2 linked regions of the Caenorhabditis elegans genome follow. The protein of the gene in region 1 interacts with the protein of each later gene in a pairwise test. Each region holds a gene or a part of one and is shown in the gene's direction. Other genes may lie near its edges.

The links.
Region 2: the proteins of unc-30 (region 1) and mml-1 interact in a two-hybrid assay, tested with the Caenorhabditis elegans proteins (one large-scale study listed by BioGRID).

Annotation. Positions count from the first base shown.
Region 1 is NC_003282.8:13,113,889-13,130,400, forward strand, and holds unc-30 (Homeobox protein unc-30), read left to right. Parts: upstream 1-5,201; 5' UTR 5,202-5,325; coding exon 5,326-5,384; intron 5,385-6,534; coding exon 6,535-6,695; intron 6,696-6,748; coding exon 6,749-6,897; intron 6,898-6,905; exon of another isoform or gene 6,906-6,926; intron 6,927-7,238; coding exon 7,239-7,340; intron 7,341-7,763; coding exon 7,764-7,925; intron 7,926-8,252; coding exon 8,253-8,369; intron 8,370-8,414; coding exon 8,415-8,503; intron 8,504-10,234; coding exon 10,235-10,367; 3' UTR 10,368-10,502; downstream 10,503-16,512.
Region 2 is NC_003281.10:7,365,233-7,381,336, reverse strand, and holds mml-1 (Protein WBSCR14 homolog), read left to right. Parts: upstream 1-6,605; 5' UTR 6,606-6,611; coding exon 6,612-6,883; intron 6,884-6,928; coding exon 6,929-7,032; exon of another isoform or gene 7,033-7,084; coding exon 7,085-7,344; intron 7,345-7,840; coding exon 7,841-8,042; intron 8,043-8,242; coding exon 8,243-8,826; intron 8,827-8,883; coding exon 8,884-9,742; intron 9,743-9,816; coding exon 9,817-10,022; intron 10,023-10,078; coding exon 10,079-10,236; intron 10,237-10,282; coding exon 10,283-10,415; coding exon of another isoform or gene 10,416-10,451; exon of another isoform or gene 10,452-10,606; coding exon 10,607-10,771; exon of another isoform or gene 10,772-10,818; coding exon 10,819-10,905; 3' UTR 10,906-11,206; downstream 11,207-16,104. Other genes in the region: hmg-4 (FACT complex subunit SSRP1-A), read left to right, coding at 86-723, 786-1,713, 1,766-2,056; T20B12.7 (Anamorsin homolog), read left to right, coding at 2,292-2,418, 2,612-3,096, 3,155-3,259; putative F-box protein T20B12.4, read right to left, coding at 11,799-11,982, 12,028-12,158, 12,207-12,341, 12,475-12,672, 12,719-12,955, 13,352-13,627; T20B12.5 (uncharacterized protein), read left to right, coding at 14,225-14,620; F08F8.11 (Uncharacterized protein), read right to left, coding at 14,930-15,090, 15,139-15,256, 15,343-15,435. UniProt on the Caenorhabditis elegans protein: Transcription factor that binds to the E box motif 5'-CACGTG-3', probably in a heterodimeric complex with mxl-2.

The DNA of each region.
Region 1 (16,512 bases):
CCCATAAGTTTTTGTACTATTTTTTTTTTGAAAAAAATTTATTTCTCTCAAGCGACAAGTAGTACTATTCACACAAGTATTCACCATTAGTGTCCACCACTTGTTGCCATTTACTAGGTAACATCATGATGCCACGGGAGAAGAAATCCGGCGAACGCGATGAGAAGAAAGTGGAGAGTTCAGTTTTGAGATGCTCTTCGTCGTCGAATTGCTTGTCGCGCATGTAGTCACTGAGAGACAAGAACAAATGGTAGTCGGTTGGTGCAAGATCTGGAGAATATGGTGGATGCGGTAAAACAGTCCAACCAAGATCTTGCAGCTTTTGGAAAGTCTTCTTGGCGACATGAGGCATAGCATTATCGTGAAGAAAATATAGTTTTTCATATTTTCCGTTGATCTTTTCTGCAACTCGGTCCAATTGGGCACAATAGTAATCAGCAGTGATAGTTTTATTAGTTGGCAACAATTCCCAGTGCACGGGTCCTTGAACACCCCACCAGACACAGATCATAATCTTTTTTGGGTGAAGATCAGGCTTTGGCGTCGGTATTCCTTTCTCACCGATCGGAAGCCATTGACGTTTTCTGGAATGGTTAACATAGAGCACCCACTTCTCATCTCCAGTAACCAGATTGTTCAGCCAATCGAACTTTCGACGAAAAGTTAGAAGTTGAGTACAAACGTTGACCCGAGTGAGCTTCTGTGATGCCGAAAGTTCATGAGGCACCCAAGTGCCAAGTTTTGAAGTAAAACCAAGGCGACCCAAGTGACGTGCAATTGTGCTATGACAACACTCAAGCTTCTCTTCCATTTCACGAAGACTAAGACGAGGCTCTTCCTCCACCAGCTTCACTAGGTCTTCTTCATTTAACTCTACCGGTCGCCCAGAACGTTCTATTTCTTCGAGACTGAAGTCGCCGTTCTTGAACTTTTGAAACCAACTCTTTGCTGTATTATAAGAGAGTGCTCCCTCACCCATCGCACCGCATATGTTTCGTTCCGCTTCCATTGCTGAATGACCAAGACGAAATTCATAAAGAAGAAGCAATCTAACGTCTCGACGTTCAAGTTTGATGATTGTCATCGTGGCAAAGTAGAAATGGATGAAATGAATCTTTTCTGAAAGGGGACGACCCGACCTTGACACGACCTACGATGAAAAAATTTTAAAACTTTCTAGAAGTTTTGGAAAAATATTTGAAAAAAAGTACAAAAACTTATGGGACAACCTGATAATATATTACAACATTAACGTGCACATTATAAGCTACAATTTATCAGTTCAATGCAACGTTGGATCTCCTCACGTTTATGAGTTACAATCGATAGAAGTGAGCTTGGTCCAATTTTCAAAAAATCCTAATTTTTCATGTTTTTGGCTGTAACTCCAAAACAAGGTGTCTGATCAAAAATCTTAAAATCAAAAAATAAGGGTTTTTTAATGATTAACAAGTATTTAGTTGACTGTTTTGTTATATCTCATGTGTGTTAGACCATTAGATGAATTTCCAAAGTTAGACCATTAGATGAATTTCCAAAGTTAGACCATTAGATGAATTTCCAAAGTTAGACCATTAGATGAAATTCCAAAGTTAGACCATTAGATGAATTTCCAAAGTTAGACAATTAGATGAATTTCCAAAGTTAGACCATTAGATGAATTTCCAAAGTTAGACCATTAGATGAATTTCCAAAGTTAGACAATTAGATGAATTTCCAAAGTTAGACCATTAGATGAATTTCCAAAGTTAGACCATTAGATGAATTTCCAAAGTTAGACAATTAGATGAATTTCCAAAGTTAGACCATTAGATGAATTTCCAAAGTTAGACCATTAGATGAATTTCCAAAGTTAGACCATTAGATGAATTTCCAAAGTTAGACCATTAGATGAAATTCCAAAGTTAGACCATTAGATGAATTTCCAAAGTTAGACCATTAGATGAATTTCCAAAGTTAGACAATTAGATGAATTTCCAAAGTTAGACCATTAGATGAATTTCCAAAGTTAGACCATTAGATGAATTTCCAAAGTTAGACCATTAGATGAATTTCCAAAGTTAGACAATTAGATGAATTTCCAAAGTTAGACCATTAGATGAATTTCCAAAGTTAGACCATTAGATGAATGATGAATAAATAAATAAATAAATAAATAAATAAATAAATAAATAAATAAATAAATAAATAAATGAATAAATAAATAAATAAATAAATAAATAAATAAATAAATAAATAAATAAATGAATAAATAAATAAATAAATAAATAAATAAATAAATAAATAAATAAATAAATAAATAAATAAATAAATAAATAAATAAATAAATAAATAAATAAATAAATAAATAAATAAATAAATAAATAAATAAATAAATAAATAAATAAATAAATAAATAAATAAATAAATAAATAAATAATTAATTACTGCTGAAAACTTAGTTATGTAAAAATTCTGTTGCTCGAAAACTTCCGGAAAACTGGAAAAGAGCGTTCCATATGCAGAGAGAGGCTTAGAAATTTTAGAAACTGATATTAATTTTGAGTTCGCCATTCGGAGCACGCTCTTCAGCGCGTGCGAACGGCTGGTGCTACAGTATCGTAGCGTTTTTTAGTGAAATGGGGAAAAGTGAAAATTGCTACAACATCGTAGCGTTTTTGGGGGAATGGCCAAAAAATATAACTTCAGCACGTTCTCAACCATGCGAAATCAGTTGAGAATTCTGCGTCTCTTCTCCCGCATTTTTTTTAGATCTACGGAGATCAAGCCGAAATGAGACACCACGTGGGCTAGCAAAGTTGGAGTTCTTGCGGAAAACTTGCAAACTTCCAGCTAAAAATCTCCAAAAATAAATACTCAATCCAAATTCACAACCCTCCAAAAATGCCCTGTTTCCTCCTTTTTTGTCCTCCTTTGCTCTTCCGCTCGATGACACTTTTTGATGTGTTTTGGCAGATGGGAGAGAACGACGTCGGCATATGGGACAAGTTACGCAATCGGAAGAAAGTGACAAATTAACGCGGTTAAGCGGTTTTCTCCTGAGAGATGATTGAATTTGATAACAATTTTCTTGCAATACTTTCCCCGCTCTCACTCTCTGACAAATGACATAAATGCGGGAAATTGAACGGAAATTGGGATATATTGGTGAAGAGCACATTTCTCACCTTTAGCAACTTTTTCCACCTTTTTTAAAACTTTATTTCTTTTTGTGTTTTGTCCTTTTTTCTGTAATTCTGAAACTGAATAATACATTGTTCTTGATCGGCTCTTTTGTTTTATTGTCATAAATATCTTGAAAGGGCAGATGGTATTTGATATTCAAACAATAACATGTTCACAGACAGGTGGAATTTTTGAATGTTATTGATTGGAAGTGAAATGAGAAGTTACACCCAAGTGGGAACACGTTGACCGTGAGAATTTGGCTGGAAGTGGTTAAAAAATAATTGTAGGTGATGCTGTGATATCGAGACCTAGTGAAAACTTAAACATTCGATTTTATGGAAGAATAAATGCTGGAAATGATTTCATTCATTTAAATCTATTTGAGACTTCTCTTGAGATAATACAGATGTTAAATACCATGTTCCACTGAAAAATATACACTTATGCAGATTAGGCTTTAATTTAAATAACTGGCAAAACTGCTGTAAAACTTAAACTCTCAAAAAACATGTTCATGGAATTTTTTAAAAATAACCTATCATAAGCAACGTTCATAATTTTTCTTTCAAATGTTTATCAAATAATTAACCCTAATGTCTAAAGTATTCAAACTTTCCTTCGATTTATGTGAAATCAATTTTAGATTATAGGTGGTTATAATGACTTATAACAATCCAAAACCATCCAATATCAACATAAAACATTCAAATAAATTTTAGATTTTTCAAAATTTCCGGTCAAAGTTTTTGCAAATTGGCAAAATTTTGAAAAATATAAGCTTTTGAGAAAATCTAAAGAAATATCACATGTTCCGACCCCCGACAATGTTTTAATACAAATAATTAAAACAAAATTACAGTATAAAAAATATAAGAAAAACAATTTTTTTGGTTGACTTCCAAATTACAAGTGGAAAAAACTGAGTAATTGTCAGTTTTTGACAGTAAATAGAAAATTTTCCAAAAATATGATAAGTTTTAAAATGCTATTCGGTCATTTTGAAACCATAGGGGTAGTTTTTAACACTTTCCCCATTGGTGCTACTCCGCCTTTAAGCCTCAATAAAACTATCATTCAAATAAGAAAGCTTTAAAAACATTTTCTAATAATTTCATAAAACCTTCAACCCCGTTCTAAAAATTCTGTATTTACGAAATTTTTTGTAAACAGTTTGCGCAATTGCTCTTCAAAAAAGATAACATCTGGTGATGATAAGGGTAGATGTGAAATTCAACTCTGTGAACGACCGGTTGACCTCGAAAATTTCATGTTATGTTTTACGACTATATCGGTCAGCACAACTGAAGATATACGTATGCTCTTCTGTAAACCCGAGTTTGTATAGTGAGAACACAAATGTTTTTAGTATATAGAGTTAAAAATTTCATGAGAATTTTACATACACCCAATTTCTTAGGTTTCCAAGTTTTGCAAGTTTTAATCAAAACAATCGAAATTTCACAATAAGTATTTATTAAAACGTTCTGAAACAAAAAAAACACCCCCGATGTAGTTTTGATATTTTTAAGTGTTTTAAAAATCAATAGCACTCTCAAAATTTCAAAAGCCACCTTTAAAACATTACACAACACCCACCAAAAACTTCTGTTCCTTAACCTGTTGGAAAAGTGTTGTGCTCTGTAGGTACGCATGTAGGCACGAGGCAGGCGCAGGCATACAAAAAACTATCATTTTCTCACATAAATCCCTGCTCACTGATCCATAAAACTACCGTTCAAACCGATTATCTTTTTCTTCAATCTCTGATATTTTCCAATTCTTTCGCGCGCTACTTCATCATTTTTACCCATTAGACACCGTAGCCCGTTTCATTTCAAAACATCTTTTCCTTCTTTCCCTTCTTTTTCTTGTCGGTATGACTCTAATCCCTCCATTTTGATGCATCATCATACTCTCTCTTTTGCAGTCAGTCGGCTGCCATTTACCATATGTGGGTGGCACACTGGGCGGGGCTACAGTAGTCGGCGGAGCATTCTGAAGAGGGGGGAGGAGAAGAGCACACGAAGAAGAAGAGTTGTCTTCGAAGAGTCTCGTCTAGGATCAAATTCTTTGCCTTCAATTAATCCGATCACTGACTTTGCGTAAGACGGTAATAATCCTTGGGGATTGAGGCGCCCTCCGGCAAAAGATCAACACATGGATGACAATACGGCCACACTGACTGCTATACACCAGCAGCAGCAGTCGCATAATCGGTTTGTTTTATTTTTTGTCTCCCGCTAAGTTTTCTCTAAATTTCCAACTTTTTCTCTCTCATTTTCCTTCAATTACCGTAAGCTCCTTGCTCTTCTGGAAATGTACCTTTAAAGTGACATAGGTATTTAAATACATTGTTAAAGGTGTCCTAGTATTACAATTGAATTTGTCTAGTGGTCCTTGCTATTTACATTTAAAATTTACAAAAATCGGTAGCCTCTACAGTTTTCCCTTAAAATTAACAGTAAAACATTGATCGCGATGTCGATGCACCATGTTTTGAATGCCTCACAACTTTGGTAGCTCATAACTTGGTTCTCCTAATGTGTAAAATTTCATCCACAAAAGTATAGGCAAACAAACAACACATATTTTGTAAATAATCAGAATTGTATAGAACCCAAATTCAATCTAGACATGAATTGGTAAAGAACGACGGTTGTAAAACTGTCAGAACATCTAATTTCACATTGGTTTTACCAAATTTTCGCTACCATGAGAACCAAAATTCTAGATTTATTCTTTTCCATCAACTTTTTTGAAGACATGGTGCATCGACCAGATCCAGTCTTCGTTAGTTCATACGTACATATACTGTCTTACTAGTTAAAATATCATGAAGTTATGAAATCTAACAATATCTTTTTTGCTAGCCTTCCTATTATTTTATAGTGTAACTTGTATTGAAACTTCGAAATAAATGTTTTTTAATTAGAAACCAAATACATACAAGAAATAATTTCAGTTATCAAAGTTTTAAAAACATGGTGCATCGATCGGTCATTGCTCAACTTTGGCAGCTAATATCTGACTTCATTTTTGTTTTACCAAAACTTTGATTAAAAACAAAATATGTGTTTTTCTCTTTCTACACACATTTCATGATAACATACATTTTAAACCAAGTATAAATTGATGAACTACCAAAGTTGTAAGATTAAGACATCCTGCATCAACCGATCTGCTTTGGCACCTCGTGTAGGCTGTGTAGGCTACCAAAAACTTCTTAAAGTTGGAAAAAACTCCTATATTTCAATAAGGCTAGTACAAATTTAGAAAAATCAAGAGCTTCTACCACTACCCCTCTACTAGATGCCTGTTATCTCACAGTCCTAACCATTCCAGCACCTTCCATTTCTTTTATTTCAGATTCTCAAACCCTCTGGTATGTGTTGGCCAATTGGATCATCACTCTCTGCTCCCCGAGCACTCAATTTCATCTTCCCTCGCACCATTAACCCACAATCCATATGCATTCAACTACTCGATTCCACTACCCCCTACGGATATTACCACAAAACTTCCCAAGTGTAAGTGTTTCAAGTTCCAATAAAAATGATTAAAATATATAGCTTTTTTATAGTAGAGCTGCTGTCACTGGACGTGAAACAAGAGCAGGATGACAATCATCTCGACACATCGAGCCCAACAGATTCAACTGGAAATGGAAGTACGAATGGAGGGAAAATACAGAAACCGAGAAGGCAGAGGACACATTTTACGAGCCATCAGGTCAGATTTGACTTTTTTTGAACGGAAAAATAAAATTAAAATAAATTTTAATTTATTAATTTATTTTGAAAAACAGCAAATTTTAAGTTTTTCATTTCCCAGTGCTATCTTGGGTTCATGATAGGTATGCCTACCTACCATGAAGGCCCCTGCCTGCCTGATTTCATGCCAGTTTACGTTCTGTCATGAGCTCAATTATTGAATTTTCGTCTTATTAACGATTTAAAGTTCATAAATTGGCAGAAAGAACAAGGTAGGTGCAAGTCACTATGAAAGTAGGTAGGCAGGTATTTCTGTGCTTTCCACAACTATACTTCATTCATAACCATAATTTATTTCAGCTAACCGAATTGGAAAACTGGTTCTCCCGAAATCGCTATCCCGACATGGCTTGTCGAGAAGAAATCGCCGTCTGGATCAGCTTGACCGAGCCTCGAGTGAGAGTAAGTTTTTTGTAGTTGTCTGGGAGATTCTGGGATGTGTAGGTACCTACAATCAGGCCTTACATCTAGTTACTGTATTATGAACCTAGAAGAGTGATTTTTCACAGTTGAGAATTAAAGTAGGCACCAGGCAGGCAAAAATTGCATGCCTGTTTTCTCATCTGATATAAATTTTTGGAACATGAAAGGTAGTAAATGCGCTAATTTGTTATATAAATCCATTCATTCAATTCCGACCATAAAACCATCCGTGGAATGTATGATGACCATCTGTCAATTACCGTATTGCGGAGGAGCGTATAGAAAAAGAGCAAGAATAACAAAAGTCGTACATAATGAGAAAATAAGGGGGAGCACACACACACACATACACTATGATGTGCTAATTGAATTTCACAAATAGACATTAACATCATTTTGTAGGTTTGGTTCAAGAATCGACGTGCCAAATGGAGGAAACGCGAACGAAACTATGTGATTGACAACGGGCAGGGCACCACGAAGGTCACGGCGCAAAGTTTGGATCCACTTGGCTCACTTCAGAACACGTTTCCACAGACGTTGTTGCAGAGCAGCAGCAGTCAGGTAAGCAGAAGGCAGGCATCAGGAGCCAATTGTTTATACCACACGAGAATGTTTAACAGTGTCAGTTTTCTTTCGCCCCTTCTTGCCAGACATCATCTTGCCTCTTATGTCATAAACAATTGGAGGCGGGGGTACTCCGCTTGTCTCAACTTTTTGTAATATTATTGAGAAATGGGGGAAACTCGGGGTACAGATAACTAGGGAACATAATTAAGAATGAAAAAATATATCAACAATTTTTTTGTTAAATCTGAAATTTTGTAAAAAAATTTTAAAGTTGGCTAATCTAATCATTCGAAAGTGAAAAAACAAATTTTCCATTTTCAGCTAGACGACTCTGCAGTAACGTCATCCTCTTTCTATGGATACGGTGGCGCGTGGCAACAGAATCCATATTACTCCAGAAACAATCAAACCACGTTCAACTGGCAGATTAAACCACAGGTAAGTAATTTGAACAATTGAACAGACAATCATCTGAGTAAATAGGATCAGTTTCAGTTTCAAACGATTCCAATGTCTCCAACGACGGCGACTAGTCGATTTTCGACTGCTGCAAATTTGGCACCTCTACCAACGTGAGTTTTACGGATAAATTTCGACAGAAAAAGTCTTAAAAGTTTATAAAAGTTGTTAAAACTTTTGAAAAATTATGGAACGGTTTTTTTTTAATTTTAAAAAAATATTTCGAAATTTTGAAATGTTCAGTAAAATAGTTCAACTTTTTCGAAAATTCTGAAAATTAAAAAATGGTTCTGAAAATCTTTGAAATGCTCGATAAAGTTTTTGAAACTTTAGGTAACAATTTTGAAAAATTCTGGAAATGTCTGAAAATTTTTAGAACGTTCAAAAAAGTTTTGAAATGTTCAGAATTACTTTTTGAAACTTCTCAAAATTTTTAAAGGAGTTTCTAAAACTTTCTGGATAGTTTTAACCTCTAGAAATAAAATCAGTATTAAACGTTTTAGATGTTTCAATAAAATTTTAGCAAATTTCTATTTGATTAGGTTGAACCGGAAGTCTTTGTGACTTTTTCAATCGTTTATTTCTCAAAGCAAGAGAAACTATAGGATAAATTTTATTTGCTATCATTATCATCAATACTGCCAACGTGTGCGGAACTTATGAATGCCCTGCTTATAGAACCCTTCCAGGCGCAAGTCGAAATAATGCTTGAGTGTCATTTCGACACTTCCATGGGTATTGAAGGTTCTCCCTCCGAGGACGCGAGTCAAATCTGAAAACGACCAGTATTCAGATGGGAAAATGCCTGGAGAATACGGTGGGTGACGGAGAACCATCCATCCACGCCTACCCAGTTCCTACAATACTTGTTTCAAGACGTAGGGACAAGCGTTGTTTTGTTGAAAATAGAGTTGCTTGTCCATCTGGGGTGAACCATCGATCACTTTTTTCAGGTTCCATGGTTAGATAATGTAGAGGCCCCCAATAATTATTTTGCTATCAGGTAGCAGTTCCCAGTAGGTGGGGCCGTACACTCCCCACCACACTGAGAGCAAAGCTTTTTTGGGGTGATAGTCGGGTTTGACAGCATCCTGTGGGGTTTCTCCTACTCCAATCCACTGGGCACGCCTGTGGTTGTTATTGTAGAGGACCCACTTCTCGTCTCCAGTGATGAGTGGGTCCAACAATCAATCGCCCTCGTGGAAAATGAGGAGGGAAAAGGAACCATCCACTAAAAAATCGATATTGTCTTGTGTCATGGTGTGAGGTATGAATCCACCCCTAATTTTCTTTATTCCGAGAGTTGCCAAGCCCTGTACAATGTTGGTTTGATGAGACCCAAGTGCGGTTGACAGCTCACAGGTGGTTTGGAAAGGATCCATTGCCACAGCTTTCTTCAACGCATCCAAATCCGATTTATGGGGTTTCATGGTCCTCGAGAGAAAAATCGTCCTTGTCGAAGCGTTGGAACCAATTGTGTATGATATTATATTGATTGGCATGTGTATGACAAACATTCTCAAGGAAACCCCTCAAATTCTTCATCGTGGTATGAGAGAGAAAGGCGTACATCAAGCCTTGTCGGATGTGGATAACACTATGTATGTACTTACATCGCCGGCTAACTGAACATAGGCCAGAGAGAAGGGAATGGGTTGTTTTTTTCAATGAAGTTCCTTTACTCTTTATTATACCCTAGCAACAAGGGAACACCAAAGTGCAACTGCGGCTAGCAGTGGAAAAGCAAACCCAGTCACAAAGACTTCCGGTTCAACCTAATAGAAGATCTATAATAGAATCATCAGAAGTTGTGATAAGAAAAATTATAATTTACATTTTTCCAGAGCCCAAGCTGCATTCTCCACATCTGCCACGTCATCAAACGACAAGCTCAAATTAATGGACGGTCTCTCGAATTCCCTTTCCTCATCGCTCGGCCAACCTTATCAACCCTGTCAGTACAGTGGACCACTTTAGTTTTTTAGCCACTTGAAAATCTTTATTTTTGTTCGTTCCTCTCCACCCGATCTCACATCCCAAAGCTTTTACTTTTTTTTGTTCCTCGCCTTTTCAACTTTACTACTGTTCAATAAACAATTAAAAAGTATGAAATTCTCTACCTTCTACCTAATCTCTTGTCTCGAGACCGGTTACCTTTGGCATTGTTTGAGCTGCCGGGATGCCAGGAGGAGGGAACAGACAGAGCAGGTATCTTTAGTTTTTGTTAGAGGTAGATTTACTATTAGGTTTGTTCTAATTTTGTTCAATTATGGCACCGTTTCAGTAAAAGTTGTCGGTTTCTTCTGATTTAAAAAAAAAAAACAAGAAAAGCATATTTCAAAACAGTAGGCGCGACGAATTTCGGCAATTGCCGTTTTGGAAATTTTCGGCAATTTTCTAACCTTATTATATTTCGGAAATTGAACAAATTTCACCTTGTTTTTAGTATTCAGTTAGTCATTTTTGAAAGAAAACGGTCGATCCTTAAAGGATTTAATCATTTTGAGGTCGAAAATAGAAAATTGTTCATCAAAATGCATGTTCAGGCTCCTGAACCCACAAAAAAAGTATATTTCCGGCAATTTTGATTTTTGGTAATCGACAATACCGGCAATTGCCGGTTTTAAAAATTTCCGGCAATTGGCATTTTCGACAATTTCCGGTTTTGTGAACTTCCGGCGATCGGCAATTTCGGCAATTGCCTTTAATTTTCAATTTTTTATTTTTAGTTTCTGTTTATTCATACGTAGTGCAAAACGTAGTGCATAACATTTTTTTAAGGCAAAAAATGTTTAAATACATATTACGAATATAAAATTTGGGGAAAATATGTGCATTTGTTGGTCTGAAATTTACGATGAAACTTACGATCTTTACAAATATCTCAAATGTTACAAACATTATTTCTGAAAATGTTGTATTCCGTTTGTCGAAACATTCCTTTTTACAACAATGCCGCCCCCGTTATTTCCCTCTAATTGCAATCTTATTCTGGAGAAACTGAGACGCGGTTCCAGTTCTTTCTTTGTGTCTTTCTTCTACATATCATAATTAATGGTATTCTAATCACACGTTTCGCTCCCCAATATCCAATATAACTGTTTCAGAAATCCATGAATTCGGTTTCTTTGTTGGAGTTTACAGTGTGTTTTGATCTTGTAATTTGGAACAATTCCAAGAATATTCTAACTTTAGTTTTGATTTTCAAATATATTTTTTAACTATAGCGGAAAAACTTTTATGAAAATCTGGAAACAAAGAACTTCCAAATTCTCTGGTATTTTGAAAACAATTCGATAAGCATTTTTTTCATAAAAAATCATGATTTCTTTTGTAAATTTTAAAGGATTTTTCAGATTTTTCGATATTTCTGAAGCTCTCTCAAAAATTGTGTTGTTTTTTGATTTATTCTGAAAAATCACCGTACTTGCCAAATTATGTTAAAGTTGACAAAGTTTGACAAAATAATCGAAATTTTTCTCAAAAAATTTGAATTTCCACCCAAAGTTTTTTCTCAGAAAATTTGAATTTCCCGCCAAAATTTGTTCTATGAAAATATTGGAAAAAGGTTTCACAAAAATTTCAAATTTTTTTCACATAGTTCCAACTAGTGAAAAAATTCTGAAATTCATTCTTATTTTCTGCATGATTATTGTAGACCTTTTATTTGCGCAGTAAACACACATGAACAAATAAGAAGTCATCATCATCATCATCATCATCATCAGCATTGTGTGTTTCTCTCTGTCTATATTCAACATTTTATTGGCCCTCTGCCAAAAAACAAGAAGCTTCACCCTTCATTTTCATCTTCTCAGCTGATAGATACCAATCAAAATTGTTGCATAGGCTAGATGATATCTCTGCCCCCAGTCCGCGATAGATTTCAATTTCTCTTATTCCCCCCCCCCCTCTCAAATTTTGCCGCCGCCGGGAGCCCGAACACTTTGTCACCTGCTCCCTGACAACTGCTCCGAGATTACATCTACCCGGTGAACTGGTTGTTCTCTTTCTTTCTCTTGCTCACTTCGCTTGAATAAGAAAGTGTTGCATTTCATTTCACAAATAGACTACCGCATTTCGAAGTTAATACTTTGGAACTTTTGCGCTTGCTACAAAAGCAAATATCAACTACCACTTGACACAAAAGTTTTTCGTTTTTTTAGGTTTCTTGTTGCCGCTTTTTGAGATATAAATACTTGCCGATTTGTCATTTCAACTTTTTTAGATAGGTGGGCTACTACAAAACCTACGAAACCTTAGGCAGTATATAAAAGAGTCACAGAATTTTTACTCTTCACATGCGCCTACGTCTATCTCATGGCTGAACAAAGTTCATGTGTTCACAAGTTAACTGAAAGCAGTCTCTTTTTAATGCCTACGTGCCTACTTCATGCCTGCCTTCCTATGTGTTTGTCTACCACTAATTCCCTGCATTTTTTGTAGATTTAGGCATTTTTATTTTAACTTATTTGTTGAATGTTTGGAACGAAATAGGCTCACATGAACGTTGGTGTAGGCTCCAGGCAGGCATTTGTGTGCCTACAGAACGTAAAAAAGATGTTATGCTTTTTTGTCGTACCACAACTTTATCTATGTACATCTCAACCACTATTATAAGTAGCGTTTGAAAAATTTTCAACTACAAAAATACTAAAAATACTTGCAGTTTTCCACAAACGGTTGCCAAGATATAATCTTTAAAAGTTAATTTTAGAATTTTATTTTGAATAACTTTAACACCCTTTTCTTCATGGTAATTGTTCTGAACACATTTATATTGTCAATTTGTCAGCTGCCAGTTGACAATACATGTTGATAACTGGTAAGCAAAACATTCCTTTGTTACCATTTGTTAAAAAATGAATGTTGTTTCCCTTTTGTGTTATTTTATTTTGTACTGCTTCAAACATAAGTACTTTCTGTTTTGCACTTTGGATTTAAATAAAATATTTTCTTTATTTCACCTAATCTACTATGTAATTTTTGAACAATTTTAACAGCCAACTCTGAACCTATGAAATTTCCATTTTATGTCATCACATTTTTATTGCTGAATCCGAGGTTTTTAGTATTTTAGTTGATTTTTAGAGAACCAAAAACGTTTTCAAGATTTTTAAGACTTTTTTTTCAAGTTCGGAAATTTCTGCAAACTTTAAAGAGATTAGAGAGATTAAAATTGGATTTTTTCAATAACTTAACTCTCAAAATACATTCGGCGCAAATTTAAAATTTCTAATTTCCAAATATATTTGACGCGAAATTAAAATTTTTAATCTTCTGGAAAAAAAGTTGTATAATTAAAAATTATATGCGAAATTGGTTTTAAAATATTACACTAGAAAAAGTCCCACAAACTAATCACTTAATTTATAGTTTCTCACAAAATTTTTGCTCCAAATATTTGCACAAAAATCCATCAAGAGCTTCACACCTGGTTTCCCACTTCATTTCTACCCCCTTCGGGACCCCTTACTTCTCACCAAAATATCCTCTTTCATTAGTCGTCATATTCCCACGGCTCTTTTCGTTTTCAAAACCTGCGACACACACATATTGACTGCCTTAATGGAACCCCGAATTGTACCCCCACCCCATAATTCAATTTTAGCCCTGGGTCAAAGAGCGGGCGTAGACAAAATGCCAATTCAATGATTTCAGACACATTTTTTTAATATAATGTGGTCTAGTGAAGACAATACTACTACTTCTTGGCTTCTGCCATCTTCAAAGCTTCTCCGCCGCCACTTTCTTGTCTTTTTGTCAGTCAGCTGGGCCTTGGAGACGCAGACACTTCTCGCGCGGCATTAGTATTATATGCGGAAGACGCGGGAGTTACGCGCGAGACAATTTTTTTCTGTTGATATATAACCCCACGACCTGGTTGGTAACCCGAGTCTCAAGGAAAAAGAAGCTTCTCAGTTGTCTCAAGGAATTTTGGTTTAGTAGGGGGAAGGTTGGGGAAGGTTGCCCCGGAAACAAGACACAAAATGTGTCCATTTTCTAACCACTTGACTAGCAACCTATTTAACTATGCTTTCCACTATTCTTGGCATTTATTATTCTACTTTACAACTTGCGGCATTTGAACATCTATTGTTCTTATTCCAGAACAGTTGAAAAGGTGTTTTAAGAACAAAGTGTTTCCAAATTAAAATTTAACGGCGAAATTTTTGAATTTCTTTGCCCCTGCAAACATATCAATCAATTTCCTCATTCATCTCTCCAAAACGCATTCATTTTTTATGAGCAATGTCTTGATGAATTTCATCTTTGAAACCGAAATTTTGTTCGTTTATTCCTCATTTATTTGTTGAATCTAATTCACTGACTCATCGTTAATATGGTAGACATTTAAATGTTTTTTTTAATTCGGATTTTTCAAAGAAATCATAATTTATATAAATGATTACTTATTTTTGCATGAAAATTGATAAAATAATATTTAAATTTTAGAGTCGAATGCAAAAATTATCAGCTTTAACTGCACACATTTAAAATCTTTTTGTTTCTACTGTGAATTTGTCTCAGGACAAGATTAGTATATTTTTTCAATTATTTCGAATTTAATATTTTCAGTTGGCTCTAAACACAATATTTTTGAAAATTCCTGTGAAGCTTGAAGATGTTCAGGAAACAATTTAATTTTAACACTAATTTGAAACCCCGTAATTTTTTTATATATTTTTTGAAAATTTTGCATAGGTTTTGAAGATGTCTTAAACATTAAAGCACCCTGAAGCTTATTGGAATTTTTGAAAATATTGTAACATCACAAGGAGGCGTTTAAAAACAGTTTTTCAAAAAATAGTTTCTAAACACTTCCAGAATAGCTTTCTACAATCTAAAAAATATTTAAAAGTCTGCGGGAATCCAATTTTATCAATCTTCTGCGCTTTAAGTTCCGTGACCAAACAAAATTCTCACTTAAAATTGAGGTAGTAAAAATTGGGCATTTTTGGTTTAAATATTGTTATAAGCTAGTCTAAACCTAAGCTTCATGTCTCGCTCGAAATTGTACTCAAATCGAATCAACACCAGCGCCCAGATACTAAAAACTTTACATCTCTTACGAAGCTTGAGTTTGGTTCCTATCACATGTTCCATCTTGATCCTTCTTCGTTTTTCATCCCCTCCCATGAAACAACATCTGCATTCTTCTCGACTTTATTCCTCCATTCTCCCTCCCAATTCTTCAATTCCTTCCAAAAATAAAGTGGCAAAGGGTCCAATGCTATCCCATTTCCGGCAGCGGCTTCTCCTTAGCCAGTACATCATCGTCTCAAATTGCCTTGGCAGAAGAATCTCAAAACTCCTTTTCTCCCTTCGCTCCGTTCATCATCTCATTTTTCTCCCTCGTTTCCATGTGCCAAATGGCTCTTTTTCAACGTCTAAGTCTCCGTTTTTCGGGTTTCGGGAGCTTCTCCCTTATGCTTTCACGTGTTAGTATGTTTTCTGGAGTTTTGAATATTGCCAAAAAAAAAAACAAAATTTCATGCAAAAAATGTTCTGTTTCAAAAGTTCTAAAAATAAGTTGAAAAAGATTTTATTTGATTTGAAAATTATGGAATTTGATTTTTGATAAAAGAATTTGATAATGTGAATTTTTTAATCAAAATATTGAACTAAATTTTTTTACACCTACACCTGACTACCGTCTATTTTTAGGCGCGCTGATAGGCAGGCAAACGATTTTATACCTACGACTTAATTCCAGATATTTTTAGTACAAATTTCTTAAATCTCGTTTCAAATTTGTTTTTGCCCTGTTTTTTCCAGGATTTTCACTTTTCAATATTGAAAAGAAAACAAATTGCAGGAATAAAATGATTCATCGTATGATACGATTCTTTCCGTCATTGCTTTTTGTTTCTATTTCTCATTTTTCTGCGTTTTTTTCACAACCTACTTGTCTCACTTTTTCCTCAGGTTTTAACAGAACATCCAAGCGGAGTATAGTTTTATTTAATTTTTGTTTTTGGTGGTTAATTTTAGGTTATTAATGAAGTATCTTCAAAATGTCATCTATCACCACAATTCGCCAATTTTAAGCTGCGTCCAAATTTAGTTTTTTTGGAGTTCCCATCAATTTTTATTTACCTCTATTTTGTGAAATTCTCAT
Region 2 (16,104 bases), on another chromosome or scaffold:
TTTGATTTGTTTTTAGTTTCATTTAAAACACTCTTGCTTTCTTGCTGCTTTTCAAAAAACTTCAATCACAAACTTGAAATTTCAGGACCTCGAGAAAATCCAATCGTTCACTTCTTCTAATTGGTCTCAATCCATCGATCAATCAAATCTTTTCATCAAAGGATGGAACTACGGACAAGCCGAAGTAAAAGGCAAGACTGTTGAATTTTCATGGGAAGATAAGCCAATTTTCGAAATCCCGTGCACGAATGTATCGAATGTTATTGCAAACAAAAATGAGGCAGTTTTGGAGTTCCACCAAAATGATGATAGCAAAGTTCAGCTCATGGAGATGAGATTCCATATGCCAATTGATCTTGAAAATGAGGAGGATGCTGATAAAGTTGAAGAATTCAAGAAAGCTGTTCTGGCATACGCTGGATTGGAAGCCGAGACGGAGCAACCGATATGTCTTCTCACCGACATTCTATGCACAACTCCTCGTGGAAGATACGACATCAAAGTTTATCCAACAAGTATTGCACTTCATGGAAAAACGTACGACTACAAGATTCCTATCAAGTCGATCAATCGTCTATTCCTGGTACCTCATAAAGATGGACGTCATGTATATTTTGTGTTGTCGTTGAATCCACCAATCCGTCAGGGACAGACACGATACAGTTATCTCATTTTTGAGTTTGGAAAAGACGAGGAACAAGATTTGGAGTTGGCACTTACTGAGTGAGTTTATCTAGAGATTTTACGAAAAATCGGACAATCGTCTAAAAATATTATATTTTTAGTGAACAACTCGAATCTAGCAATGGGAATCTACGACGTGACATGACTGGTCCAATCTATGAAACAATCTCAATTCTCTTCAAATCAATTTGCAATTTAAAAATCACTGTTCCTGGACGGTTCCTGGGAAGCTCGGGCACCCCTGCCATTCAATGTACACATCGTCAGAACCCTGGATTATTGTACCCAATGGAAAAAGGATTTTTGTTCATTCACAAGCCAGCCATGTACATTCGCTTTGAGGAGATTAGCTCATGTCATTTTGCACGTTCTGATAGTGGTACTGTCACCAGGACATTTGATTTCGAGATTGATTTGAAATATGGAGGACCTTTAACTTTCAATGCGATGGAAAAGGAGGAGAACAACAAATTATTCGATTATTTGAATAAGAAAAATATCAAAATCCGAAATTCACAACGTGTCGAGAATACCGTCGCAGACTCCAGTGATGATGAAATTGATCCATATAAAGCAGCAGTTACAGCCGAAGGACGCCAACGAGATGATAGTGATGATGACAGTACTGATGAAGATTATGATCTTGATAAGGATATAAAAAAGAAAAAGGAGGATAAGGAGTCGTCAGAAGGAACTGGATCAGAGCCAGACGATGAATATGATTCTGGATCAGAACAAGATTCCAGTGGAACTGGAGAGTCTGAGCCGGATTCTGAGCAAGATGTTCCGTCGAAGCGAAGAAAGGGTGAACCTAAAGAGAAGAGGGAAAAGAAGGAGAAAAGAGAAAAGAAGGAAGGCAAGAAAGGAAAGAAAGACAAAGATCCAAACGCTCCGAAACGTGCTACAAGTGCCTACATGCAATGGTTCCTTGCTAGTCGAAATGAACTGAAGGAGGATGGTGATTCTGTTGCTGATGTGGCCAAGAAAGGTGGAGCCAAATGGAAAACGATGAGCTCGGATGATAAAAAGGTTCGTTGATTATAGTCTACAATTTATCCTCTAAAATAATTTTAATTTACAGAAATGGGAGGAAAAAGCAGAAGAAGATAAGTCTCGATACGAGAAAGAAATGAAGGAATACAGAAAGAATGGACCACCATCTTCCTCGTCAAAACCATCTTCATCAAAAACATCAAAGAAAAGTTCTGGACCATCTTCATCCAAGGCCATTTCGAAAGAGTATATCAGTGATTCAGATGATTCGGACGATGAGGAGCCGAAGAAAAAAGAGAAGAAAGCCGCTCCAAAAGAAGAATCAGAAGAGAGTAATAATGGCTCCGATGGATCTGATGAATCGGATGATTCAGATTAAATTATTAATTTTGTTTCTTTTAAACTCGTGTACTATCGTTTAAATATTCATGTATCTCAAGTTGTCTGAATATCTCATTCTGTTACATTCATTAATTTTTTGATTGCACTTTTAACTTTAATACACTTATCTTTTATTATTATTTTTTGATGATTGATCGATTTACTGGTTCAAACCCATACGTGATCTTTGATTATTTTCCGATTCTTATGAAATTTAAATTATTCGATTTCAGATGTCCATTTTGTCCGACTTTTTGAAGCATCCCAACTTGCTTCAAGTGACGGACGGTGGACCACTGGTCGATGGAACCAACGGGGTCAAAGGGACAAGAGTGGTGGGAAGTGTCTCGAATGCGAGAGGTGAGCTTATTTTATTGTTGAATGACTTTAAATTTTGGAAGTAATTTTATTGAATCAGAAATGAAACTGATTTAAAATTAAAAAGTACTCATTTTAGAATTGTTAAAAACGAAGTAGCGCCAGTTATTAGAAAGTTGAAAATTAATTTTCAAAAATATAAATTCTAACCTTTAATTACTATTCTCAATTTCAGAATTGCGCGGTGCTGATTCTTTGGTCGGAGACGTTGAGCGTGCAATTATTCAAGTACAAGAGACTGAGTTGCTCGCCGAAGTCTGCAATACCGTTTTCGACGTTATGAAGCAAAACGGAGAAGTTATCGTCTTCTCACAAGATCTCACAACTGCTCAGCGTAAACTTCGTATTGCCGGATTCCGTGTAACAGAGGTTGCCGCTGAATTTCCGGTCCGTGGTATCAAATTGGTGAACTTTGGAGAAAAGGTTGCGCTGGATCTTGGAGTTGTTGCTGATGAAGACCTAATCGATGAGGACGGGCTTTTGCAAGAGGAAGATTTCGAGAAACCAACTGGTGATCAACTGAAAGCTGGAGGATGTGGACCAGACGATCCAAATAAGAAGAAGCGTGCCTGCAAGAACTGCTCTTGTGGTCTTGCTGAGCAGGAGGAATTGGAAAAAATGGGACAAATTGCTGCTGAACCTAAGAGCAGTTGTGGAAATGTAAGATATAGCTGTGGAAAATGAAAATATTTATTTTTGGAATTACTAATTTTTTCAGTGTTCCCTTGGAGATGCATTCCGATGCTCCACCTGCCCATATCTCGGACAACCACCATTCAAGCCAGGCGAGACTGTCAAAATCTCGACGGTCGACGACTTCTAATGCATTCCAGCTTTTTCTCACCCCCTCTTGACACGTGGTTTTCATCTCCCCTAATTTCAAAAACACCATCTTTTCCACACAACCAACCAGCTGAACACCATTTTTTCCTATTCTTGTCTGTTACTTTTTCTATTGTCTATATTTCATTTTTCGTTATTACTTTGCGCGTAGAGTTCTTCTTGTGCTATCTTGTGTTGAAGAAAATAAAAGCTCATCTAGTTTCCAAAAAAATTGAAATTGGAAGATATGTCAAAACCGGGGTCTGAACAGAGTCGGGAATGTTTGTTTTTCAGGTTTCTTCGACGAAAACGTCGAACAAATTTTCAGATTTCGAAAAAAAGGTATATTTAGTTAAGTTTTTTTTATCAAAATTTATAGATTAGCTTTATATTTTTTTGTATACTGAAATTTAAATTAGAATTCGTGTTGTGCGCAGCAAATTTGACACGCAAATATCTCGTAGCGAAAACTACAGTAACTCTTTGAACGACTACTGTACTTAGCGTTGGTGTCGATTTACAGAAATCATTTATCAATTGATGATATTAAGGAATCATGAGAATGCCTAACGCTTTGGCCCGGGAATATCTCGTAGCGAAGGAACCTAAATCTCTCTTCGCCGCATGTTCTCTCCGCTGCCGCTATTTTCGCGCCAGAAAGTAGGCATTCTTATGAATTGATGGTTTCTTAATATCATAATAAAAGAAAACACAAAATTGGCAAACAATACGAAACAAATTAAAGAATAATGAATATCTTCGTCATAATTCGTACCGAAATTTATTTCGAAAATTAGTCCCGTAAATCGACACCAGCGCTACAGTAGACATTTTAAGAGTTACTGTAGTTTTCGCTACGAGATATTTTTGTGAAAAATATGTTTCGTTATACGCATTTTCAGAATTTTGTGTTACCGGACAAGACGGAATCAGCTTGAAAATTGACGAAACTAATTGAACACGTTCGAATTTACTTGCTTTTCGCCAAATACCTAACGAGAGCCATGGTTCGGGGGCGGAGCATTTTCAATTAACCGTAGAGCGAGTTTCCACGTCGCTTTCAATAGAGGCTGTTTTCCCATAATACATTGAGTTTCGAATTAATTTTGTTGCAAAAAATTTGGAAAAAAGTTTGTTACAGTAATCTTAGTTTTCCCTCAAAAAACATCCTTTCTCATTTTTAAATAATGAATAAAAGAATTCTTAAGAATAGAGTAAGCTGTAACAGAAACTGCTAGAAATTTAGATGAAATCTCTATTACATAATCAATTGTAGAGGGTCGCGTTAGAGGTCCACAGGGGTTACAATCTCATATCACAATTCAGAATCCAGTTATCATACATCTGATGACGTCATCATTCATAAACGAGAATAATGTCACGTGGTCTAATATCTTTTTCCACTCGTTTCTCCGTCCTTCTTTCGATGTGAAGGGACAAGTTCTATGACATGCCAAATCGGCACGTAGTTCTCCCGCTCCGTCACTGTCTCTTCGTTTCTCTGCGTTTCTGGGAAACCACGTGGCTATAATTTTGTGTTGTTGGTGTATTCTGTATTCTGTATACTGGAGAGTTTCGTTGATGTTAAAATAGTGGCTGATTGAAAACGCGCGAGGGCATGTGTATGTGTCAATATTCGTGGAAGTATTGTGCGGCAAATTGAAACAGAGAGCTGAGCGTATTTCATTGTGCCTGCGTCTTTCATGTTCAAGATGATGTCTCTGTTGCTCCAGTCTCCTGAGTCGATGCATCTCTCGTTTTTTGGATGCACTCGACCACACACACACACACTTACCCAATATACGCTCACACACACACACACACACGCACAACTCTAACATATTAGGGGCATAGGTTAACGTTTATTTATTTCTAAGTTTCAGAACCCTTTTCTAATTTTCTTTTTACTTCTGAATTATGATTTTCTGTTTGTTAATATGACTAGGTTCCGGAAATTCGGCAAGTGCCGAACGTAATATTTTTTTACCAAAAAAACATTTGCTACATTAGAAATTAGTTTTTTGTTCTTTTTTTGAGTTGTTTCTATAAAATATTCCAATTATTTCGGATATATTATCGAATTGTCAAAATTGTCTGATTGCCTGCCAGGTACGGTATATAATGCGCGTACGATATAATGTACTGGTTGTGCAGGTGCGAATCAAGATAGTTTTACGTAGTTGAGAGAATCATGGTTCTTATTAATACAACCTACTGTCTATTTTTGTTGAGAAAAATTGCAAACTGAAACTATAATTGTTTTGATGTAAAACAAAATAGTCATGAAATCTGTGAAAATATACGTCCTCCCGGGAGCGACCCCCGCTGCTTGTTATCATTATTATCAGATAATGGCCATTCTGTTTGTGTTATCAATCGTATTCTTCCATCCATTCTCCCTCCGTTTCGTCGTTTTCTTTTCACAAATATGTCTCGTTTTCTCCCCCTATTTCACACCAACACTGTATATCGTTGTGACTGTCGCTGGTCGACGATTCGATATATGATTTTTCCTATCTTTTTCGTCCCCCATCCTCTCCGATGTTGGTTCTCTGAAACCCTGTATCGATTGACTTTTGTCCCTGTCACACCCACAAACTGTTCAATACTATCTAGGTCGTACAAAGTTGAATTCAAATCGGATTATCGTACTCTAAGTAGTTTTGCCAAAACGCATAATTTTGTTTAACTGAACTGACCAGTGTCAAAACTTTTTGCGGGGACAAGTTTCAAAAATATTTTTCCATATTTAAAATAAATAAATAAATAAACTCGACTTAATGAAATGCACCCTATCTGTTTTAATTTTCGCACCTGTAAAAAAAACTTCTGAAATAGCTTTCTAATATCTTAAATAAAATTTTGCAATTCCATAAATAGTGAACCTATCTTTAACGCCTTTTGCAGCGGTTTTCCAAAACAATGCACAAAAAAAATAATTCAACAACAAGAGACCTAGACACTCTTTTAGTCGGTCACGTGTTGTAACAACTGATCCTCCATCGCTCTCCCCGTCCGTCCGTCCTTCGTCGTTTCTTCCTTGCTTATTGTCATCGCTCTCACACACAATTTTCCCACATTTCTCCACTTCCTTTTTTCCTAAAAAAGTTCCTCAGGGCCAAGCTATAAGTTTTTGCAAAGTTTACGAAAATGTGTAGATTTTAGTTGAGCTCACACCTTGAAGCACATAATTCTGAAAATTTGGCAATATGGGATTTTTGTTCGTGATTGGATGAATTGTAATTCCAAATAATCAATTGTACATTGTTACCTAGTAAATTTACTTTCATCCTCTATAATTCTTCATTTCACTGTTTCTACTTTTCAAAAGATTTCAATATTTTCAGACAAAAATGTCGCGCGGGCAGATTATACACAGTGGGCACTTTATGTGTTCGAATCCCCACGACGATCTAGTACAAGATGAAGATGAAGAAGATGTTGAAGTGGATGTAGTTGAAGATGATGATAAATCAATGGAAGCATCATCATCAGTTCATCATAAAAATAAGGCTCTCGACGAGAAACCGGTGACGTTTTACAAGTTTGGAGTTGGTAAAACACAGTCGATCGCGATTGATGTATCACTGAATAAGTTGAACAAATGTATCAAAGTTGCTTATAAGTAAGTTTATCTTCAATAAAAATTGATGGCATTGTTAGTTTGTAGCAAAATGACAACTCCAAAATGGAAGGATTTCAAAGGATTACGTCTTCATTGGAAGCAGAGGGTACGATTGAATAATGTTATTTGGAGAGCATATTATATTGAATGTAAGTTCCCTCTTTAATTTTATCAGCTATTGTTCAAAATCTTGTCTTACAGTTCGAAAAAAGCAGCCAGAAAAGCCGAAAAAACCATTCTGCTACTTTGCCGTACCCGACGATGACACAACACATCAAAAAATCGAGGGATCGATTGTCGAAGGAATGTATTGGAAAAGAAAAATGGAAGGTGTGTGTGCACAATATAAACGATGGAGAATTCGTTCGAAACATAATTTGGTCACGGATAAGGGAGGAATGGTGGCGACGTGCTCTTCGACAAGCGTCAGCAGTATGACGGGAGAATTGAAACGGAAAAGGGTATGATTTTTCTCGAAGCTTTTTTATACACCAAATGAAAGTGGAAGATTACCCAGACGCGAAACCTTTCGAGTTTTGCGTCAAAACTACGGTACATGGTCTCGACACGACAAATTCTTGTTTAATACATTAAGGTGTGTGCCTTCAAAGAGTACTGTAATTTCAAACTCTTGTTGCTGCATAATCGTCTGTTTCTAGTAGCGTCGGCAGATATTTGGTTTTATACAATCGAAAAAAAAACAATTTTTTCGTGTTCATTTTTTCAAAAAAAAAATCACTGCATTTTATAAAAAATTAGTTCCACTTTGAAGAAATTCCACACAATAATCTTCTATTTTCTGTAATTTCTTTTTTTTATATTTGAAAAATTAATTTAAACTTCGAAATATTTAAATGAAAAAAGGAAAAAGCGACAAGAAACATCCGAAAACAGACGAAATCGAAACAAAAAATTAGAAACAAAATTTTAATAAATATCGAAGACATTTTTTTAAAGAAACACACCGTTCCAAAAGAAACAATTGAAAGCAAGTTGCGAAGCTATGAGCCACCTGTAAAACTTCAAAGAAGTCAGACGCCAAAACACACGATTTCTGATGAATTTGCATGGGATTTTGATGACTTGGATAATGTTTTCACTGATGATTTTCTAAATTCTCTGAGTGAACCTTACATGTTTCCGGATCCAAGAGATGTTTGTGAGTTTTTTATTTTATTTTTAACTTTTGATTATGAAAGAAACTAAACATATTATGTTAGTTTTATTTGAATTTTGTAGCAGTTTAGAAACTATTTCATTTGATGGAACAAAATATGTGTTAAAATATTTTCAGTAAATCTATTAATCTTTATAAATACTTCATGCTTTATATGTCTAATCGTCAAAAACTTGTTTCAGATAGTGGAAATAACGCTGATATCATGCAGCCAGGACTCCTCCCACTACAGCCAACAATCGAGGATATCATGATGTCATTAGGCGACGATATGCCAGATTCTCCGCCATTCCACAATGATCGGGACACAATGAGAACTCCGACGAATGATCAGCCATCAATATCAGCACAACAAATTCCTCAAATGAGAAGATCTGCTTCATCTTCGGCGTCTTTGCATCAAATGCAAGTTGCTCAGGCTCAGGCTCAATCCATATCTCAAATATCTCAACCATCTCAACAACTGCAACATCAAATTCAAATTCAACAACCTGTTGCGGCTCGTCCACATGAGTTTATGGCTTCGTCGATTATGATGGACTATCGATTAATGCCGACACGACAATCATCTGCAATTACTTCACAAATGCTTATGCTCAGTCAATCCGCATCGACATTGTCTTCACAACCACAGTATGCCACATCAACACACTATAGCACGAATAACTCATTTCTCCCAATTCGAAATACAATGACAAACCAACATCATTTGGGCCATACGAGTCAGCATTCACCTTGGAATAAGCAACAACAAAGTAACTTCTTGGTTAGTTTGAAAAATGCATGAACATTTAGACAGTTTCTCGAAATTCAATAACTTCAGGTTTCCCTACCACATCAATCCCACGTCGAACGAATTCTGAATAATCAACCACCACTTGTTCCGCCTCCATCCAGATCTAATTTGCTGCCGACTCAAAATGATCCATATCTTCCTCAATTTCTTCAATCCACTCAACCTACTCCACAACCCCAATCTCATGATCCAATGATGGCTCCATCGAGATCATGGTGGCTGGATAGTCCGTTGACTGCAAGTGTTCAATCACCATTATCAGTAGCAACACCATTGCCTCTTGCCAATCAAACGGGACCGCAGACTCCATTGGGTCAGCTTATTGGGAGTGCGGACAACGGTTTTTTATTCGGTGGAAATAATACACCGGGTGGATTTAAAATGAGTGGGACTACCAGTGGTGTTCCAACTTTATCACAAAGATTAGAACAACCTCCAATTAGTCGAACTTCAACAATTTTTGGAAATGTCGAGAATAAACCTGAAAGAATATTCACTTCATTAACATCACAGAATACACCAACACCATCTCCTCTGGATATTTCTAGCCTTTCTCGCTTACGCACATCATCTCTCAATGAATCATGGAAAATGAGTCATATAGTAGAAGGATCGCCTACTTATCAAGCTTTTGCTGCGTCGGTTACCACGAAGCCGTCAATATTAGAAAGTCCTTCAACATCTGGAGATATTAGTGGTCCCGCGTCAGTTCCAGTACAAGCTTCACAGCATCCACCGAAGATCATCACACCACCGTCGGCGTCGTCAAAACGAAAAGAGCAAGAAGCAGCGATGGCGCCATTAGTGAACAGGCAGCAGTCTTGTGATGTCAATCTACTCAATGGAAAAATGGCTGTGAAGGTCGAGGAGAAATCCGGAAGGCATTGTAAGCATATTTTTTAATGTTTCTTCACCAAAGTTATGTTATCTCCAACTGAGTTTAAATTAAGTAAATTTCAGACTTACCAACCACACCCACCGAATTGAAGGAAGTAACAAAAGAAGAACCACTGTTGATGAGTGCACCATCAAGTGTCAAATCAATGCGACGACAAGCTCCAGATTCCACATTGCACCCAGAAGAACGCAAAAGAATATTGCATTTACACGCTGAGCAAAACCGAAGAAGTGCACTGAAAGATGGATTCGACCAGCTTATGGATATTGTAAGTTTTGGTTTTTCTCATGAAATCTCCAATTCAAAATTTTATTTTTTTTCCAGATACCCGATTTGTATTCTGGCGGTGTTAAGCCAACGAATGCTGTCGTTCTAGCCAAGTCAGCGGATCATATTCGAAGATTGCAGGCCGAAAAATGGGATAAAACACAGAAGATCGACGAGGCCAAAGCGAAAATCGAAAAACTGAATCAGAAAATAACGTAAGATAGTTTTTTGTTGAAATATTTTAAAACTGTATCAATTCAGATCCTTACAATCAAATCTTCCCCAATCGAGTGCACCATCCAGTTCATCACAGGTGGACTCGAAAACTTCACTGGAAACATTTTTCGATAGATATGTCAAAGAAGGCGCGAAAAAGAATTGGAGATTTTGGGTGGTAAGTTATCTAGCAGAAAAGTTGAAATTTTTTTAAAATCTATTGCTGAAAAATCGAAATATTTCTCCACCAAGGTGCACATCCTTTTGGCACTAAAAAAGAATTTATCACGTCGAGGCCCGTATTTTTGACAAAGCAACCGCAAAAATTTTGAATTACTATTGAGACAAATTAATACAACTTCATAATAGATGTCCCAAATGCTGAAACCAATCTGTGTCACACAAACAAACTCTTTCGCATCGTCTGTAGCAGGAGACTCGTCGTCAAGAAATGAAGTAGCCGCCTCGTGTTCTGATTGGCTGAACAAAAATTGGAAAGCCACAGAACTTCGGCCGCTTGCGAGTACACTTTTGGTAAATATAATATAGATACTCATTAATAATCAATTTATAAATTTCAGGTCTCTCTTGCAACCAACTCGAGCATTCTCGCCGAGCCGGACACTCTTCCCGATTATGTCATGCAACAACTCAAAAATCCATTTTGAACTGCTCATTATAGAATCATGTTTATTGTTTTTAACATACGATTTTTCTGCGTAGATTTGTTTAGATTTTTTGAAATATCTCAGTCCCTTTCATGTTGCCATAACTTTTTATCCAGGATTCTAATCATTTAGATTCAATCACGGGTTTTTTTCCCACTAGCAGCCACCACAGAAACAGCCCTCGTTTATATGTTCGGGTTACCTTTATATTACAGTTTGCTCAATTTCTCATGTATTAAATGTACATTGTCTCTACCTCTTCTGGTAATTTTAAAAAGAAAGAATTATACATTTTAAATTTATCACTCTCGACGGTCTTCATTTTCAAACACATCGAATAATACCGAAGAAAAAATTTTGTAGCAATAGAAAGGAAATTTACAAAAAAAAATCACGAAAAAAGTTGATTCGAAACAACCTTCTTCCTTTAAAAAGTAAAAATTAATTAGAACTTTACTAAATTTATTTTTAAAAAAATTAATGAACGTTTTTCAAAATACAAATAAGTGTCTGAAGATTACTGTAGTTTCTAGCTCTTTGCTGCATTGGTTTTCTTCATTTTTTATAGTTTTTTTTTCGTTTCTTCGCACCTTTTTTGGAAAATCTGAACTTAAGAATAATGAAAGGTGCAAAAATGTTGTGGCAACATAAAATCCAAGAAAATTTTGAAACAATGTGGATCTAGGAACTACAGTACACCATAAAGCGTAAAAAATTGGAGTCTACATTTCAATTTCAAAAGTTTTGACTCGAAATAAAAAAAAATGTCCAAAACGTTTCTAAAAGTTTGTATTATGATATTTAGTTATTTAAACATCATAGGAAAATAGACGTGTATTTTACTAATTTCTCCACAGACCGTACTCCAACATATAAAAAACAAATAAAGCATTTCAAGGAACTTGATATCTAGTGAACGTCTTCTTATTTCGAGTCATTCTATGCCCAGTTGCAATAATTGAAATTGTGTCAGGTGAAAAGTAAATAGTGATACTCTCATATGGATCAATTCTACTGTACACTTGTATTTTCTCTCCATCAAGAAATTCTTCATTGAAGGCAGAACAAAATTCCGCTCTTAAAATTTTAGTATTTGAAATCAGAAAATCCATATAGTCTTACTCTTGCTCTCGAAATGTTTGATCCCATGAACGAAATTCAATTCCTCTCATTATCATAAAAGAATTATTTAATTTCGCAGACCATAGCAAAGCCTTTTGAAATTCATTTACTCCGTGTCCATTGACCCATTTCTAAAATAATATATCAGTGTTAATATACAATTTAAAAATATAAATTACCTTAATGAAATCATTAATGCCATTAGCAGTTATGTTAACACAATGGAATCCAAATTTTTTTGCTTTTAAATTTAGAAATTGCTCGTCTGTGAATGCAGAGCGACACCAAAAATAAAAGGTTCCGGCATTCTTTATCTAGAAATGTTTGTTTTAAAAAATTTATTTTAAATTTTAATCAGATATTTTGAGATTGAGTGCATTTATGAAAGTCATTTGAGGATTTTCGTATGCGAAATACCAAAAATCCGGTTTTCAATGACTGGTGTACCTGTGAAAAATCCAGAAAATCCGTTGGAATTGTGAATGTGTCTTTATTCGAATAAAGAGTTTTCAATTCAAGATAATCCAATTTTTCTGGGCATTTTTCAAGCCACCATGAATACGTGGCAATATCCGTTGCATTAATTCGAATTGTTTTGCAACGCGCTAAGCTTCTGACTGTACTACTTTTCATTGGATATTTGTTCTGTAAATTATTAATAGTATTCACTAGGTTACACAAATAATATTACCATGTCAACATTGATAGATTGAAACTCATAATTGCAAACTTTCATCCACTTTTCTGCGAATTTGACAGATTGTTCATAATAGTTACAGGATTTCCATATTAATGATCGGACAGATTTTTGTTTAAATCCAAAATATTTAAACCATCGAATGTGAACATCTTCCTCAACTTGCCAGAAGACAACTTCAAATCGATAGCCGGAAAATTGACTGAATTTAACACGGACAACAATATTTTCCTGAAAAAATAATCTAAACTCTGAAAAATGTCTGTCCTGTAGATTTTGCAAAAAAAATTGTTCAATAGCATTTCAGCTGATGATTGAGAGAAACGCAATTAACACTGTGCAAACCCGGATTTCATTATTGTATACAATTAGAATAGGTATTCAAGCTTGTGGATGTGACGGGCCGTTGACAAAATTTTTTGAACCAAACGAAAAAATCTAATTTCTTCAGAAACTCAAAAAAAACGTATAAAATTCGCATTCTCGCTTCTAAAATTAACAAGTCTGAAAATATATTATTTTTTCGGTCCGAAAGTCCCCATAATAACAAAAAAGTGTTGCTGCCACTACAAGGAGTCTTGAAGTTTTCATACAATTTTTTTCATTTTCCAGTATAACAAAACTTACAAAATCTTTTGTAGAAGTAGAATGAAGGCTTCTCTCATTGTCACTTATTTCAATTTCATAAACATACAGAGGAGTTATGGAAACTAGTTTGTGATCCGATTTCGAACAAATTGAAAGTTGACATCTTGAACAATAATCCAAATATTTTAAAACTTCAATTTTACAATCTTCATTTAGAAATTTCCAGTATTTAAATCCTCCAATATAAATGCTTAATTCATTTATTTCTTTTTTCGAAACTATTCTTCGTTTTGACTGATTCTCAATTTCTTCCATTAATTCCGAGAATTGATTCAGCTGATCTTGAATATTTAGAGCTAACATTTTCCACTCTGAAATACATACGTTTTTGTATTTTGAACGTTAACTGAGAATCTTTAAATATTTTCTTTCTTGTTTTGAAAGTAAAAACAAACAATAATAACGCAAAAAAGAGTGAAAATAAGGAAAGTCTTCAGCTAAAAGGATACGCGTTTCTATGGTTTTCATGAAAAATTCAGATGCTGTTGCAATATTTTGAAATTTCCTAGATTTATGCGAAGGCTGCCAAATAGACACAAAACTGCCTACCTACTTGCCTAGAACACCTACAGCGCCTTGGAAACTATAAACACCCTGTTTCCAAGCTTTAAATTGGTAATAACTTGTTAAATTTTGTATTTCAGTCAAAAATTCCTATTACTCAGTTTTGCCAATTTTTGAGTACTTTATATTCTAGTTTAAGACAGAGTGTACAATACTATTTGATATATTTTTGAAAGCTCCATATTGAAATTTTATTGAAAGTAAACGTGCGGAACAACAATTTGAACTTATTAAAATATTAATTGAAATGAACAGTATTAAAACAAATAACTAAAACTGTCAGAATCCATGACCAAACACCTCTTGCTCATGCTCCAAATTCTCTATGTCCTCCGAATTTTTCGAACCCAGATGGTTATTCAAACATCTCCAGTCCGTTCGATCTATCAAAACCTTCGTATCCACCACGTTTTCCAAATCCGCGAAATTCTCCTCCTCCACATGGCCCACGAAGTCCTCCACTTCTACTGTTGTTTAGGTTTCTCGCCTTTTTTTTACAATTCAAGGTTTTTGCAATTCAAGGTTTCAATACGGTGTCCGCTCTTCCACGCTCAAAATATTTTCAATTCTAAATTGGAAAAATATGAATGTACCTTTAAATACTACAGTAACCCGCTCCTCGTTAACGTAATTATACTCTTTGGTTTGCGGATTTCTGTCTGGAAATGGTTGTACCTCACATGATGTTTGAAAAATGAAGTTCATCGTCTCAATGCATGAGGATTTACACGCCAAAATTACTACTCACTGCAGAATATGCCTAGGTCCGACAAGCTGGTGGTGGAATAATGTTCACAACAAACAAGACACGGGAGGCAAATGAACAAGTGCTCAAAAAGGATTTTGAGGAGGTAACAATGATTATGTAGGTTCTTGCTTAGTTATTCATTAGACTATTGTTAATAAGATACATCAAAGTTTATTTAGGCGCTTTCATGATAAAAGTTTAATTATTTGATCTTCAATATTGGATTGTAATTGTTCAGATACATGTCAACAGGACGGAATGACTTTGACTGTCTTTTTTGGCACAATTCGTCGATTGAAGGTTTTGATTTCAATGTATCGAGTGACAAGGACAAATACTGAATTTTCAACACAAAATTCAATGGTTTGACAGAATCGCAAAGTGGTGACCTGATTCATGGAAATGGCTGAAATAAATTAATTTTTGAAAATAAAGTTTTTTTTTGAAAACATACGTTTTCTATAGTCGGAGAGGTTTTCCAAAAGACCACATGTCAAATCGTTTATTGGAAATTGGATCCGTAAGAATCGGATAATTTCAGAAGTTTCAGAAGCATTGAATGGTTGGACATTCTGTAATTGTACGGAATTTGATTGTAAAATTAGTAACGTTTCTCATTATAAATTGAAAACTCAATTAAGCCACTAATATCGGTTACCTGGAAATTGGGAAGCTGCTCGTATTCTGGCATACTTGGAGGAGAAATGAACGAATTTTTGACGGAATTTCGATTATTTGTATTCCACGGCATTGCCACTACACATTTCCTAATTTCTATAGAAGGTCATATGAATAGCTTGAATTGAAACAAGTTATGATGTGAATGTAAATTTATAAATGACTGGAGCTGAAAGTGTTCTTTTCTCGTTTGATCTCTGAAATACGTGGAATTTTACACTCAAAATTGTGTGTGACGTCAGACTTCCAAAAGCGAGAGTATATATTTGACATCCGCTTCCAGACAACGGTGAAGATTCGGCTGCCAGAGATAATGCTTTCAGAAAGACGCTCTAGAAAACTGAAAATAGTTCAGAAAAAGTTGAGGACGTTCCGTTCTGCGGAATTGAAGACTTCTTTTTTTTTATTGAATGACCACTCTAGTTGAAATACTATTCTACTAACATTTCAACTTAAAAATCAATAGACGTCTAGCAATGTTGTTGGAAGTGAATATGCAGAAGGTTACTGTAATATTTTGAAAAGTGTCTAGATGCTCATCACATTATTGAGAGATTCCAATGTATATATATAATGTACATTCTATTTATATGAAAAATAAGTTTATTTTTTAACGTTTATTATAAAAAACAGTTTTTAAAATTATTCAAAAAAGTACATGAAAATAAGTAGTGGAATGAATTGAGAACATTGAATACTACTTTTGAAAGAATAATTATAAAATAAGAATGAAAAATGAGAT